Linked DNA regions of Canis lupus familiaris. The protein of the gene in region 2 interacts with the protein of the main gene of each other region in a pairwise test. Links are inferred from orthologs where the notes say so. Each region holds a gene or a part of one and is shown on either strand. Other genes may lie near its edges.

Evidence for each region.
Region 1: the proteins of GAD1 (region 2) and HAAO interact in a two-hybrid assay, tested with the Homo sapiens proteins (4 studies listed by BioGRID and IntAct). The two-hybrid records come from large-scale screens. The link is inferred for Canis lupus familiaris from reciprocal best matches to the Homo sapiens genes GAD1 and HAAO.

The regions. Positions count from the first base shown.
Region 1 is NC_049231.1:46,436,949-46,441,502, reverse strand, and holds the start of HAAO (3-hydroxyanthranilate 3,4-dioxygenase), read left to right. Parts: upstream 1-1,675; 5' UTR 1,676-1,763; coding exon 1,764-1,843; intron 1,844-4,242; coding exon 4,243-4,321; intron 4,322-4,554. UniProt on the Homo sapiens protein: Catalyzes the oxidative ring opening of 3-hydroxyanthranilate to 2-amino-3-carboxymuconate semialdehyde, which spontaneously cyclizes to quinolinate.
Region 2 is NC_049257.1:15,670,999-15,674,960, forward strand, and holds part of GAD1 (glutamate decarboxylase 1), read left to right. Parts: intron 1-2,816; coding exon 2,817-2,975; intron 2,976-3,962.

The DNA of each region.
Region 1 (4,554 bases), on a different chromosome or scaffold from region 2:
AGACTGCCAATTGAACAGATGTGATATTTTATCCTTACAGTACAAGCCAGAGAGCATATTTGACAGTGACCATACAGCAGATTGTTTAGCCTGTGTTTAGGGTTCATCTGGATAATTCAGACCCCAACTTGTGGCCTCAATTACTCACCTTATTTGACTTCATAAATTAAAATGCAGGGTAACTATCATTTCCTTTGTACTATGTAACAGAACATCTGTTCAGCTAAGAATTTTTCTCTTTAGGTGGGAATTTGTTCATGCCTCTATCCACCCACTACCCAAGCATCCAGTTAACATCCAAAACAAACCTCACCTATCATGCATGGATGGGTCCTTGTTGCTTCAGGAGTCACTGTTTACGTCTCCTCTGGCTTACTTACAGGGGACAGACAAAGAATACCGTTAGAGTTGTTTTGGTGCCAAACAATATGCAATACTTTTGAGAAAGAAATGCTCAGGAAAAAAAAAAAAAAAGCTCTAAATGAATAACTAAAAAGAAAAAAAAATAACTAAAAAGAAGATGTAAAGGCGGACAAAGAGGGAAAGGCGGTGGGCGTGGAGAGGCGACTGCAGGGTCCTCCCAGCCCAGGTGGGTGGCGGTCCTCTCCCCTCCCGCCGGGCTGGGGTTTGCGCGGGAGGCGTCGGAGGGGCGGGGCAGGGGCGGGGCGGGGGCCCGCAGGGCTGCAGCGCGAGGAGCCGCACTTCCCAGACTCCGGCGCCTGGATTCCGGCGTCCGAGCCCGGCTGCTTTCCTTCCCCCGCCCCACCCGCCTCTAACACACGCGCACCTTTTCCCTAAGAATCCTGAGCCCGGGAGCCTGCGAGGAAAGCAGGTGTCAGGCCGTCTTCGCCTCCTCCGCTCCCTCCCCGCTTCTCTGGGTCTCCGACCTCACAGCGCGCCCCCGAGGGCAGGGGCCGGGGCGGGGGCCGGGGTCACGGGGCTGCAATCGCGGGCGCAGGCTTGTCCGCCCAGCCCACCCCGCACCCCGAGGCGCCCGGTTCTGCACCTGCGAGACCCGCGCCGAGTTGTCCTGTGACGTGGACCCGCCCTAGGACCCGCCCTAGGACCCGCCGGAGCTCGGACAGCGCCGGCGCCGCGTGGGTGCCGCCACCGGGAAGCCGAGAGGGTCCGCGGGCCCCGCGCCCCGCCCCGCCCCGCCCCGTCCCGTCCCCGGCCTTCCCGGCTCGCGGCTCCTCCCAGACCCGGGGCGCACGGGGCTGCCGCCGTCGGGGCCGTCGGGGCCGTGGGGGCCGTGGGGGCCGCTGTGCAACCCCGGCGTGGCTGCGCAGACATTCCGGGTTCTCGGGTGGGGACGCCGAGGCTTCCATCCCGGCCGCGCTCCCGTCCCGGGGGCTCGGGGCTCCAAACCCGCCTTCCTCCCACCACGGTCGGTCTTCGGGGCCCCCGCGGGGTCCGGGCGCTAAGCCTGGGGACAGGGGACCGCGCACGACCGCGATCCAGGGATCCCGGCCCGGCGGGAAGCAGGGCCCCCCGACACGCCCCCCCCGCGCCCCGCTTCCCTCGCGCGGAGGCCGCCAGGCTGGGCAGGGGCCCCGGGGGGGCGCGGGGCGGGCGGGCCGGGGCCGAAGTCCGGGAAGGGCCCCCGCCAGGTCACGGGGGCGGCCGGGGAGGGGGAATCGCCCTGCCCTTCGGCCCCCGGGCGGCTAGTGGGCGGCTAGTGGGCGGCTAGTGGGCGGCTGGGCGGAGCGCACCCCTGCGACACCCGCCTGGGCACCCGCTGCGGCCGCGGCTCCCGGGCTGCCATGGCGCGTCCCGTGAGGGTGAAGACTTGGGTGGAGGAGAACCGGGCCTCCTTCCTGCCCCCGGTCTGCAACAAGCTCCTGTGAGTCCCAGGCTCGCCGGCCGCCCCCGGCCCTCTGCCCCCCCCCTCCGTCTGCACCCCTCAGCCCTCACCCTCCAGCCCCCCAAGCCCGCGGAAAGGGCCGACCATCCTCTCGTGCCTTCGGAGGAGGGGGAGGGCAGGCCGTTCCGGTTCCACCACCTTCATCTGTTCCTCTTTCGGACGACTCTGCCCTGGGGATTGTGACCTTGGCTTCCGGATGATGGCTGGGTGACTGGGAGTAGATGAGATGCAGATGGCAGGCCACCGCCCCTGTCCCCAGGGCTTAGAAATAGCTCTGCAACCCCCCAGGGACTCTCAGAAGTTTGGGGAGGGTGGTTTTTCCATTGCCTCAGAACTGCCCTAGAACCTGCGGGCAGAGGGTGAAGTCAGAGGATCAGCTCCTGCGGGAGAATCTGCATCCCGTGCTCTCCCCAGGCCTGTCCCTGGAGGCGGGCATGCTCTCGCAGCAGGCGCGGGCTCACCTCGGCCCACAGCACCCAGCAGGGCAGGTGGTGCTCAGCTGCAGTCTTTCTCCAGCAGACCTTCCCCGTGGCCGCTTCACCTCCCTCCCCTGCCCTCACACCTATGGCGGGGCCTGGTGTGCTCCCCAGCTCCAGGCTCACACTGCCGTGTCTGCCGAACATTCCCAATGGTGTGGCACCCCAAACCACACAGCGGCATTTGCACACCTTGGCAAAACAGAGGCCATGCCGGGTGCTCTCACCACTCACCTAGTCCTCACACCAGCTCCGTGAGGTGGGATTCTAATACGTGACTCCCCCAGTGTCCCTCAGCTAGTAGGGGCCAGGTCCAGATTCCAGCCCCTAGAAAAACTTGACTCCAAAGTCCACACTCTCCCTCTCAGCGCAGCACAGCACTATCATGGGCTCACACCCAGCATCCCCCTCCCACCCCGGGGCCTCGCGACTTCTACCACTGTTGGGGCCCTCACCCCTTTCCTCCACTTCATCCCTATGCAGCCTGGTTCTCGGTCCCCCACGGCACCCCAACCGAGTCTCGTGCCCCTTGCTCCTCCCTAGCCCTCCAGATACCACTCTGGTTCCACCCTTGTCACCTTCACCCTGGGTGTTGCCCCTGCCTCCAGGCCCCCGCCCCAGGCCTCCAGCCTAGCCCCAGTATTAACAGGCACAAAATGCAGGCCCAGCCTTTATTCCTTCAGCACGTGTTCCCTGAGCTCAGTACTTGCCAGGCACTGTTCTGGACACTGGAGACGCAGTAGAAAACAAACTGACAGTCACTTCCTTGTAGCACTGACGTTCGGGTGAGAGGAGGCAGCCAATACTTACAACAGACAAGGAGTGGAGGCAGGCAGGCACAATGGGCCACCAGGTGGAACAGAGCCATGCCCCCAAATGCACACGCCGGGTTGGCTAGGGCTGTCAGGGAGAGTCTGCCCCAGGCCTCTCCTGGCTCCTGGTGGCTTGGTGGCAGTCTTGGCCATCCTTGGCCTCTGCTGCAGCACCCCGATCTCCATCCTCATCTTCACAGGGCACTCTCCCTGTCAGCGTGTCTGTGTCTAAATTTCCCCTTTCGATAAGGACTAGAGGCCTAGCCAATTCCAGTGTGACCTCACTGTGGCTTCACCAGTTAAATCTGCAGTGATCCTATTTCCAAATAAGGTCACATTCTAAGGTCCTGGGCATAGGACTTCAACAGATGAATTTGGGGTTGGGGGAGTCATATGAGACTGCTGGGGAGCGGTTTGAGCAGAGGAGGGACAGGATCTGGCTGAGGTACTCTAGATGATTGGCTGAAGTAGATCTTGAGTGGGCTCATTCCAGAACTTTCCGTACGTGCCTAAATTATATCCCAGTAAAGTTGACTTAAAAAAAAAAATTTCTGAGGCACCTGGCTGGCTCAGTTGAAAGCGCATGCAACTCTTGATCTCGGGGTCATGAGTTCGAGCCCCACATTGGGTGTAGAGATTACTTAAATAAAACAAAACAGTAAAAACTTTCCTAGGCTCCCTGGCACACTTTAGGCCAAGATCAAACTCCTTGGCCTGTAATTAGAGATCTTGAACGAGGCCAGGGATCCTGGCTGATGAAGGGGTTGATCCACCACCACACTGCTCCTCTGTACTAGGTTAGAGGATATTGGGGACACACACACAAATACAGTGAGACAAGATGCAGAAAGACACAGGTATACATACAGTCTCTCTCACACACACGCGCACACAGAGTCTTAGATACGCACAGCTATACTGAGATGGGGGGGGACAAATGTCAGAGCCTATAGGGACAATAACACAGAAACAGCCCTGTCACCTCTCCCAGGGGTACCCAGCTTCCTTCCAGGCCACCCACAGGCCCCTGGACACCTCCTGTCCTGTCCCCTGAGCTGCTTCGGGACCTCTTCCCCCTCATTCATTGCAGGCACCAGAAGCAACTCAAAGTCATGTTCATTGGAGGCCCCAACATCAGGAAGGACTACCACATTGAGGAGGGTGAGGAGGTAAGCCTGGTACTTCCCACTTCTTTAAGAGCCCTGGGGGAGGAGACACTTGCCAAGCAAGAGCTGGAGCCCGTGGACAGGAGAGGGGGTGGTCCAATGGCTGATGGATGAAGGGACACCACTGAAATCCCAGGGCAAAACTGCTGCCTGGAAGTTGTGGGCGTACAGTGACAGCTCCGCCCTCTAGCACTGCTGGGGGAGCCCCAGGAAAGAGCCCTGGCTCTATAGGTCTG
Region 2 (3,962 bases):
AAAAAGAAGTTGGGGGGTGGACATTTGGCAAAGTACTTTCAGCCCATAAAAATCAGGGGAGAAAGCTCCTTCCTTCCTCTAGGTTGATGCAATTCCATTCTACAGCTTGCTGAACAAGAGCCAGGGGGAATGGGCTTCAGCCTCCACCCCCCCCACCCCCCCACCCCCCCCACCCCCCCGTGTGCCCTTCTGTGATGCACAGCTCACAGGCACATTTGGTAGCAACTCGCTCAGGCCAAGTGCTCCCTAGTTCTCTACACTCCTCCCCACTCAATGGGTCTCCTAGGCCTTTGAGTTTAGGGGCAGGAGTGAAGAACCCGCCTCAGGAACTCCCCACTGCCCAGAGGAGTCATGACACGGTCTGCCTCCTGTTCTGCCCCTAAAGCTAGCAGGGGGTGCTACAAGCTGACCAAAGTCAAGTGCAGCTTCGGCTTACTTCTGCTTTTCTTTTTGCCACTTGGGAATGTTGAGCTCGGTGGTCACTTCCTGCTTAAGCTAGGTCCTCACTGGTGGTATGCAGAGCGAGAGGGAATACGGTCTGCTTCAGTCTTGGGGACCCCTGCTTCCAGGACCCCTTGCTAGCCAGGGGAGTTGTCAAAGCACTGACTTCAATGTCATCCACCACCTGGTCATCCTTGGGGAAGCATACATTTCTTCCCAGAGCCTCTCAGAGCCATGAAAGGCCTCAGTCATTTTAACCTTTTTTGAGACTGCCAATATTTTAGAAAACAAATATCTTCCAAGAAATTGTTATTCTGATAACAATATGCGTTAGGTGTTTATATTAGCAAATTAATGCTTTTAAACACAATAGTATGATGTAAGTATGCTATTCGAGAGATAAATATAGGATTTATCGCAAATACTGATTCCTAGTGTGCTCCAGGAAGTGCGGTCCAGGGATGAGATGCAGAATTAAAGTTGTGTCTTAATTACCATCCCTCAATCCTATCAGGACACCTCTGGGAATGCCCATATCAGATTTGGAGATGGTTTCCAAAGCCTAAATCCAGGTCATAGGTCCTGCCGCTGCCCAGAGGAAAGGCATCCCTGAGGGCTTTCAAGGTAGAGACTTAAGGCTTTCCCAAAGGAGTGAGTCCGAGCAACCAGAGGTGAGAGACGGAGAGAGTAGGAGTTCAGCTGGCAGGACCTCATCTCCATTAGGCCACATGGATTTGGTCTGTTCAGCCTGGCGAATTCTATAGCTCACTGTTCCAGGAGCAGGGGAGCAGTCTTGGAATTCAGGAGGCAGGTGCTCCTACATCCTTCTGGCTCCTGGTTTCAAATCGTGGTGTTTGTATGGGAAATTCAGAAAGTAGAGGGAGAGGTGAGGGAAGGGATACAACCCCTACCTTTCCATCCAGTGTGGAGCTCTGGTATAGTGTCTTACCCCCGTCCTGATGTCCTTGGGGCTTTAGGGATAAGTTTGTAAGATGCTGGCAACAATAAAAGGCCTGGTGACTCTACCTTGCTATTCTTCCCTCCAAAAATAGACTCTGTGCCTGCGTGTGGGAGGATTCCAATCACTGCGGCCTTCCCCCTGCATCCCTCCTTCCTCCACCCCTTGCCACTGAATTGCAGTCCTGGGGAAGCAAAGCTGAATTTCCCCCAGGTCAACTTGCCTCTCCTCCAACCTCCCAGGACCTTCCTCCACTCCTGTCTTGTGATGTGCATGACCCCCCAAGGATTCTGGTATCTACAAAGACAGCTGTGGGGTCACTAAGAAGCTTCAGACTTTTTCTTTTCAGTGTGTGGCTTGTTGGGCTAAGATTGAGGCAGAACTGGAGGAGAGGTTGAGGGAAGGAGGGGGTCAGCAGGCCCTGAGCCCCGGAGGGGAGGGGTGTGGATACTAAGGAGTATGCTCCTAGGTGGCGGTGTCTCTAGCCCTTTTGCCTCAACCTGCTTCTCTGTTTGCCACTGGCGGTGTTGGCGCTGCTCACCTCGGGTAGGAGAGATTCCTACTCCTCCTGAGGGGCAGAGGCGAGGTGCCTTGTATCCCGCCCTGGGCTCGGGGTTCAGCTCTGTGGAGCTCTGGGATGGCTTTCTAGCTTTATTACAACATTGGTCACCACCTCATCTGCCAAACTCTAAGTTCCTGGAGGGTAGGAGATCTGTCTCATTTGCCTTTATCTGTCCCCTGTCCTCGATGTTTGGCAAAGTGCTTTTCCACAATAGGTGCTCAGTAAGTATTTACAGAAGTGAGTGTCGCCACACATAAGGTTTTAGGCTTCCTTGGCTCTTTCCCCAATACCTTTATCAAGGACAGCAGGTGGTATGGAGAGAGCTGCTCTTCAGGTTTGAGTCAGAAAAATGACACATTCAACCCCGTTAGCATTACCTGGTGCCCGAGGAAAGCATCTTCCCTAGCCCTCAGTGCTGGTCCTCCCTGCCTCCCCCTCCCTCAGCCAGTCCTCACCCCCTCCCTCCTCTGGTTGCACAGCCCATATACCCAGTGCCAGCAGCAGCCTCTCGGATTGTGTCCTTCCCCTTAGAACCCCATCCTGGGGCTGATTACTGGAGTGGAAGCTGTCCAATTGACTTAATTCTGAGTTCAGTGTCACGTTCAGAGAGGAGAATGGGCTTTGCTTACTGTTTCCCTCTCTTGCACGACTGGGTCTGTGCCACTGATGACACTTGGCACTGCCCCTTCCCCGCCCGAAGGCCAGAAGTGCCAAAGCCTTTATATATAAAATGCAGAGACTCAGCTTCTCAGGAGAAGCAAGAGCCCTGCTGGGAGAGTGGACCTGGCCTGGCAGCTGACCCTGTGAGGCTAGGAATTCAGTGCGTCCCCTCTGACCCAGCATCTTGTGCTACAGGCTTCTTGCAAAGGACCAACAGCCTGGAAGAGAAGAGCCGGCTTGTGAGCGCCTTCAAGGAGAGGCAGTCCTCCAAGAACCTGCTTTCCTGTGAAAACAGTGACAGGGATGGCCGTTTCCGGCGCACAGAGACTGATTTCTCCAACCTCTTTGCTCGAGGTAGTCCCCGCCAGCCTACCTTTGCCACCCCACTCCTGTCCCCACACCCCCCTCCCCTCCCCACGCCCCCTCCCCAGCTCCCTATCCTCCCCACACCTCCCTCCCCTCCCCTGTCGCAGCTAGTACTATCCAGTAGGTTCCTCATTTGAGTGTCTTGATTTCTTCCTGAAACTTTACTTCTTTTATCAAAACTATCATTACTTTCTGAACTGTCATGAAACTGTGTGTCCAGGATTTAAATATAATATACCCCCTCCTTCCCTACTGCCCAGGACTTCGTTTTGGAAGCTAGATGAAAGCAGTCAATAAAAACAGTCAATTCTAAAGACACTTGCAGGGACATATATGGCTGCATAGACTCTCAGAATCTGAGGGAATCTTTACACGTAAGACAATCCAGTGAGTCCCGTAATAGCATTTATCCTCCAAGGTCATCAACAATGACAAAATCACTCTGGGAAACTGTGTGGCTGGGCCTAGTGATCAAGCACTGTTCTAAAACTCATTTTCGTTTTGGAGATCTTTCACTATTATTGCTGTCCCCACAACTCTGGTCTCACGAGGTACTGTCTCTCCTGAACAGCTTGAAGGTAAACCTCCCACTACTCCCTTCCATCAACTCTCCACGGGCCATAGAGGCCAGACCCAAACAGTCAATAAGACTTCACTAAACCTCAGAGGTAAATCCAAGGAATCTACACAGTCAATCTGCTCTTGAGCTCTGGCTGACAACTTCAGTTGGGACCCCCTACAGTTTTCCTCCCTGGCTGACCCAGCCTGACTCTGCCTACCAGAGGGCTGGAACCCAAAATCACCCCCAGGCATCCCAAAGTCCAAGCCCAAAGGATGAGGGAGGGATATGGGAGTTCTCTCTCCCACCTTTCTGAGCCCCATCTTCTAGCTCTTGTTTTCTAAGGACACTACGGAGGACCACACTTCAGGGGTCTCCTGAAGAGGGGACCTCAGCCTCTACCCACAGAGCTCTCA